Linked DNA regions of Xenopus tropicalis. The protein of the gene in region 2 purifies or fractionates together with the protein of the main gene of each other region. This does not show direct contact. Links are inferred from orthologs where the notes say so. Each region holds a gene or a part of one and is shown on either strand. Other genes may lie near its edges.

Evidence for each region. Proteins that work in one complex are often made in the same cells at the same time.
Region 1: the proteins of poc1a (region 2) and nudc purify together in Homo sapiens (co-immunoprecipitation; 3 studies listed by BioGRID and IntAct, with this or other methods). This does not show direct contact. The link is inferred for Xenopus tropicalis from reciprocal best matches to the Homo sapiens genes POC1A and NUDC.

What each region holds. Positions count from the first base shown.
Region 1 is NC_030678.2:77,789,295-77,792,950, reverse strand, and holds part of nudc (nuclear migration protein nudC), read right to left. Parts: intron 3,219-3,656; coding exon 3,024-3,218; intron 2,939-3,023; coding exon 2,882-2,938; intron 2,739-2,881; coding exon 2,610-2,738; intron 1-2,609. UniProt on the Homo sapiens protein: Plays a role in neurogenesis and neuronal migration. Necessary for correct formation of mitotic spindles and chromosome separation during mitosis. Necessary for cytokinesis and cell proliferation.
Region 2 is NC_030680.2:128,806,380-128,810,035, forward strand, and holds part of poc1a (POC1 centriolar protein homolog A), read right to left. Parts: intron 3,305-3,656; coding exon 3,125-3,304; intron 2,963-3,124; coding exon 2,855-2,962; intron 2,536-2,854; coding exon 2,420-2,535; intron 1,017-2,419; coding exon 883-1,016; intron 1-882.

The DNA of each region.
Region 1 (3,656 bases), on a different chromosome or scaffold from region 2:
AAAAGAAACACATGATTTCTTGTCTCCTTTTTTCCTATGCCAGAGTCTATGCTCCCCTCTCCCTTAGGAATTAGTGATCTGAGCTATACAGCAGGAAGCTTCCTCATAGTCTTACACACTGCACATGTACATGGGTCTTGGTCTTGGTGCAGGAACTTGGCATTATGGGAATTTTGTTTACAGAGCTCAGCATTTCTTTTTACTATGACGCTTCAGATCATCTGAACAGGAAAATATGGAGAGACTTAAGGGGCACTATTGAGAGAACTGAAGGTATGTCTGTAGCTTGAGATTAACACTTTATTAGCCTTTTCTTCTCCTTTAACTGTGTTTTTAGAACTATTAAGATATAGCATAAATAGCCTTTGGCTGTTTAACTGCTGCTGAACATGCTAGCTTCCACGTGCAACCAGATGAACACTGTAATAAAAGCATGTAAAGCACAAGAGACCCGGCCACGTAAAGCCTCTAAATTAGACCCAACCAAATCCAGTTACAGTGAGACACAACCCTGAACCAACTTTCAGGTCAGCTCCTTACCTCCAGGGAGGGAGCAATACAAAAATTACTTTTTTACTAGTATGTAAGGCTATTCAACAACTTTATCCAAATTCACATAAAGCTGATTTCTAATGGGCCAAATAACAAGATATCCAACAGTTACCATAGGTTGACTAGTTGGTTGTTTCACCCACACAGATGACCATGTTGCTCTGATCCAACTGAACATCCTGTATGTTGGTTGGTCCAATCGCTCACCACAGTTGTTGGCCCAATAAGTTGTATGGTTTGGCATATAACAACATATTTAGTAACATATAATTAATCAGTTCTTCTTCCACATTAATTTTTGTGGTTTGATCATCCAAACCAAAATAGGGGTCCACATATGAACTAATCATTATGCAGTTTGTTTGGAAACTAATGGAACTGCAAATATTGGTGCTTCTATGAGCAGAAATGAGCATGCCAAAGTGCGAACACTCTGCCTGGCTTAAACATATACCTGGATGATTGCCAGATCTGTAATCTCTTATTAAAGTGATACTGACACTAAAAAAACTGCTCTTCAAAATATTAATGTACATTAAATATTACCTATAGGTCATGTTGATTGTTTTTCACTGATAGGGCTGCTTTTGTAAGTAATTGTTACTGGAAGTTCCTAAACCTGACTCTTTTGCCAACATGACTTTCCTTCTGCTTTAAATGGCAGATTAAGAAGGGACAGTCATTTCAGCATTTTACTACCAATAGATTTACCACATTAGTGCCACTTGGAATGCTATATTTATTCTGCAGAAAGCTTTACTATACCCGAGTAGAGAGCCCTAGAAGTTTTCACTGTTTGCTTAAGATTGCAGCTGCCATTTTATCTTGATCTTCATAGCTTCCTGCTTGCAGTTTAGCCGTTATAGTTTAGATTACGCATTCTTAAGGGTGGGGGGAGTGGGTTTTATGAATTCTTATGGGAGAGAACTGCTCAGACTCTGGCCTGGGTATGAAGGATTTTTCTGAGAGAGGAAGTCAGATACCCTAAGAACGTGTACAAAATAGGAGAAAAGAAATCCTGTGCCTCTTTTCATAGAGGACTGCAGCATTACTGTAAGTGCTTATGGCATATTTACATAGACCTTTCTGATAAAACTTACTTTGTTTTTACCTTTCCTTCTACTTTAACAGTTTCTAATGCTAAAGGACTACTGCTGCACAAATATGGCAGCCCCCTCATAGAGGAACATAGGGGATCAGGAATGTAAACGCATCGAGCAAATACTTTTAAGTAAAAAAAACATGCAAAGACAATGTTAAGACAGATGTAAAAATGGTTAGATTTCTGTTGTCAGTATCTCTTTTAAAGGAGAAAGAAAGGTAAAAACTAAGTAAGCTTTATCAGAAAGGTCTATGTAAATACAGCCATAAGCACTCACAGAAACGCTGCACTGACTTCTCTGTGAAAAGATTTCTTGTGTTGGTAATTCCTGTGCCAGAGACACACAGCTTTCTGCTGTCTCCTCTCTCTTGCTCCCCCCTCCCTCAAGAATGCTAAGAACTCACTCCCAGCTTGAGATTAACTCTTTATTAGCCTTTCCTTCTCCTTTAAGATCTATGGAGGGTCACAGTAGGTAGTTCAGTCTCTCCCCTTGTAAAAAAAAAAAAAATCTGTCACATTTTTACTAGGAAAAACACCAAAAACAATTATTCATCCCCACAAATCTAAACAAAAACTCAGATGTACAGGAATAACAAACAATACTAAGAGCAGATTTTGCATAAAAAAACCTCTCCTCATGCAATACTGAGCTGGTTGCCCAGTCAGTGGTGTAACTGCTGTCATTTCCTCTGTGTCAGTGGTCTTTAGCATATATATGCACATAGATTAATGTTAGGACACCAGTCTGGAAAACAGCATGTCTGAAACCACTGTGTCTGACAGCTGTTTAAGAATAAAGTATTGGAGCTAAAATGGTAGGAAAGTTATCTATAAAAATCCACAAAACAAACTAAAAAAAATTGTGAGGTAAAATTTTTAGTTCCCTTTGTCCAGGCTCTTTCTATGGACATCACACGCGACTAAATATTTAGCAACATTCTTTACAAACACTTACATCAACCTCAGAGAGGGTTTGTGTCCAGCGGTAATGAGGAAGGTTGGCTCCATTTCCTGAATTTGGTTTGAGCTTTCCTTTATCTTTCTCATCATCTTCTTCCTCCTCCTCCTTTTCTTCCTCTCCATCCTACAGAATACAAAAACCAGCAATCACAGCCTATTATTCTCCTCCTTCACTATTGCTGAGACATCACTTTACATTGATCATATTTTTCCAAGAGCACATCAGTGTTTCTCCTAACAGTTATTTGTTGTTGTTTATAACCTTACCTTCTCAGGCTCTGGTTTCTCCTCTGTCTCTCTAGTTGCCTTCTCTTTCTCTTTGTTCTGCAAATCAAAAAAAAAATGTTTAAAAATATTTGCACTGCTGGAAATATAATAAGTGATGGCTTCTCATTTTCTAGTGTTTAACCTTATCAATTTCTTTTTGTAGTCTCTCTGCTTCCTCATCAGTGAGCTCTGTGATTCTGGACTCTCCAGCTTCCGTTTCTTTTTTCTTGGCTTCCCGTTCTTGCCTCACAGCCTCTCTCTCCAGACGATCAGCATCCTTCTGTTTCTGAGCTGCTAAAGCTAGTTTATTGTGGTGGTTGAAGGCCTGGGTGATGAGCTGTAGAAAAAAAAAAATAATTTGTACATTCACACAGTATATCTCTGCATTAAAGGGAAAGAAACATGTAAGTAGAGAAAAAACAAATTTTGGAAACCCTTTGCTGAAACTGACCACTTGGTCAGTTGGGTTTATCCATTCAACTGTCCCACAGTGACAACAATCAAATTAAAAGCCCAATGCTGTCCTTGGATTTTCTAGTCTGCCCAATAGACAACAGGCCGGCCATGGTTATGGCCCATACATAGACCAACAGGCTTTCAGCTCAATTTGGAGTAGGCAACTCGCATCAGCCTGTTTATCAACAGCTTTTCTCACAACATTATTGTGTTGCTGAGAATCTGCTGCCACATTTATCAACAAACCATAATGTAGGTTTGCCCCCTGTGGAGAAACTGTTCTAACAAACTGATTATAACAGAAATTAGAAAAAAAAAA
Region 2 (3,656 bases):
TTATGTGCATCTTCGGCACACCACTGTGTAACTGCCAGCATCAGAGGCGCCCATTGCACCATGGTTGGGGACCCCTGCCATAGACAGTCACTATTAATCAGGGTTGGTCGGGGTGTTTGGGCCTCTGTGTACTTGAAATGCCAGGGCCTATTTTGTATCCCAGTCCAGACCTGCTGTAGGGCATTGGGAACTAGCCTCCAAGCCTGTCTGAGCTGACTTTTGTTTCCTGTGGAATCCCTGTTGCTCCTAACTATTCCTGTCATTACCAGTAAAGCATTTATGGCCTTTTGGCTTGTCAGCGATGGGATCGATTAGTGTCCCTCTTTTATTCCAATGTTTCACAAAATTATAGATTGAGATATATAAATATATGTTTAGCACACAGTGGGCTTCATTGTGATGAGTCTCAAAAAAGTATTTTGTGCTCCTAGGATCAAACACAGCATTTTTCGTACAAGGCAATATAAAAATGTACAAAACAGTAAAATTTGGAGACACCTACAGACGTAATTGTAATTTCACTAGAGATGTTTGCACTGGGTAAGGCCTGGGTGGTGGGAAAAAGTTTAAAATAGTTTCTTTCTAACCACATTCTTCAGGTCAATGGGCAGAATAACTTAATTTGTAGAGGCAATTTTAAGGCAGAGATGTTTCTGAAATTAATTCTTATAAAAGACTCCTCCCGGGACTATATTTCCTGCTACACTTCAAAGAAAACCAGCCAGTGACCCCCTATTTGAAAACTGGAAAGTTGCTGTGGAAGAAGGCAAATAATAACTTCTTTTCATATGATAATACCGGTACGTGTATGGCCACCTTAAGAGGCATTAACCACTGAAGAAGCAGCATTATTTCCCTGGCTGACAGCTGTTGTCTTCTCACCTGATGTCCATGAAGGGTGTAAAGTAATCTTCCTTCCAATAAATCAAGAACTTTCAGAGTGGAGTCGTTTGAAGCAGTGATCAGGTAATTGCCAGATGGATGAAATGAAAGAGAATTCACTACGCCACTGTGAACTGGAACAATAAATGTGATCTTTAAATAAAATCTTATTTGCTTGGGTTATCATTTTCACTTTATGAAATCTTTGTAAATAGTCACCAAGACCTGTTTGCTCACTGCTCGGAAATCATTTGAAGAAACAAGAAGTGATTATGTGATCAAATACAGCGCTGCTCGTTGTGAACTATCTGCACTTGGCTGTGTCAATAGTCTCATACTATTCCATTATCTTATCTCTTGGTTTCCATCTGGAGTTGTACTAATATATATATATATGTTACATTTTAATGAAATATCATAGATTGAATGAATCTATAGTATTAAAAAAAGCGCAGTCTTTATAGAACCAGATTACATTTTTACATAAATATATACATTTTCTCTAATTTTTTTTTTGGAGTTATCAGAGCATATTTCACCAAAACCTGTAGTTTTACTGGTTTCTTTACAAGCAACTTGGCAAATATATCTGGATATTAACCACAAACTAAGTTACAGGCTATGTTTGCTTAAAAACGGCTTCAGATATTTTTAGAGCTTTTTAAACAATGTTTTTCTGAATAATAGATCCCATACCTGTTTTATTGTTTAAAACATAAATCACAATTTCACCACTAGTGGGCCCTGATTAGTTTGCTTCTGCCATTCAGTTGCATAAAACATAAAGAACTCCCCAAAGCATGAAGTTACAGAAAAACAGTTAAACTGGTCATACTTGGGCAGATTTAGGCTGCCAATTTGGCCCTTTCAGAGCGAGTTAGCAGCTTTATGTGCCCTTGTATGGGCCCTTTTCGGCAGCTTATCTGATAGCTATGTGGTCAAAAATCAGCCAGATATGTATCGGATAGGTTTAAAAATTGGGCGAGAACCACATCAACTCATTCATGCAGTCCTCTCCCCATGGCCTGCATAGGCACCTACTATGATCTGGTCATTTGCCCAGCACAAGTTGGGCATATCAGGCAAAGATCCACTCATTTAGTGACCTTGCCAAATGAGCAGAGCCTTACCTAAAATCATTAGGTTCCTCTTTACTCTTATAATTAATTATAAGATACCATCAAAATAGACATAACTACTTAGCTATACTGCATGCCTTCAAAAACTATGAACCTTTTTTTTGTGTCTGGGACAAAGATTAAAAGACTTGCGCAAGCTCCTATTAAAGAAGTTTTTCCACTTACCCTTTAAAAAAGCCTACTGTCATGCATGGTACCCAGTGGCTGCTAGAAGCTAAGGAAAAGAACAGTCACCCTCTGTTTAGGCCTGAGCACTTGCCCCTCTCCATAGGGTGTTTGTCCCACTGACCTTCATGCCATTCAAGAAACAGACCTTGCAGCAGGGCATGAGTGCAGATATGAGTACATAGGCATTAAATTGATGTGTTGTTCATGTAATATTAACAGAAGCTAATTACCCTGGTAATGTTGGATCAGTTTATTCATGCGGATATCCCACACCTTCACTGTGTTGTCTGTTGCTGCTGCAGCTATGCAGGTACCACTTGGGTGGAAATCAACAAAGTTCACAAAACTGCAATACAAAAGTATAAGTGAATAGCATTACCATCAATAGATTTAAATGTAAATGTGTGAATAAGAATGCTTTCATTCCATTTTGATAAAGGTTTCTATTCAAGGTGCTTATCCAAGAGTCTGTGCTGAAGCACTGGTGCAGTAATAGCTCCAACACCAGCATTTCAGTGGGATTCAGGGAATGCTGTTGCTGACCTTAGTGCTCATGGCTCATGAGGTATGTACTGGTCGACTAAAGGTGGCCATACACAGGCTGATGTATTGGGCCCTTCGACAGAACACTCTTAAAATACAAAATCTATTGTGAATTTACTTACCCTCCATGTTCACAGAATGAATGTATGCACTCCCTGCTGGTTTTGTCCCATAATTTTATAGTTTTGTCATCGCTAGCAGACACTATAAGCCTTCCGTCAGGTGAAAACCTAATAGAAAAAAATAAACCAGCTTTAGATAACTCTGGTGGGATGGTAGAGGCACCATTACATCTATTAATACATGCTTAGTTTAATGACACACTGCTGAACCTAAAATTAAACTTATTCTAGAAAACAAATACAATGAAAGGAATACCATTTGATACATACTTGGCACAGCGCACCCAGTTGATGTGTTGATTCAGGGAAAAGAGAAATTTTTGCCTATGAACAGTCCATACTTTTATAGTCTTGTCATCTGATGCAGTAACTAATGACTGCCCATCCCCAGAGAAGCTTACACTTCGTACGGTGCCGGTGTGGGCTTTGAATACTGTGGATTCTCCTTTCCTGGAAAAAAAGCACAAAGTGTTAAAGAACAGAACTGGGTTAAGGTATGGAGCTGACATGCATGAAGAATAAAGTAAGGCTGACGCTGCAGGTAAGACAGGAACATAAGCCAGTCTGGGTGGTTTAAACTTATAAAAAGGATCAGTGTTATTTTAATTAACCACATGTTGCAAGTGAACAGGTAAATTCCCAATAAACAAATAATAGACTGTGAGGAAACTGGCTCATAGCACATTCTCCACCACAGCTTTCTAGCCAGCAGTGCAGCACTTGGACCTGACCATATAACTGGTCATTTGCTTTAATGGAAACCCCCTGTTACTGCTGGTGACAGAAGGATTTCGTCTGGAAA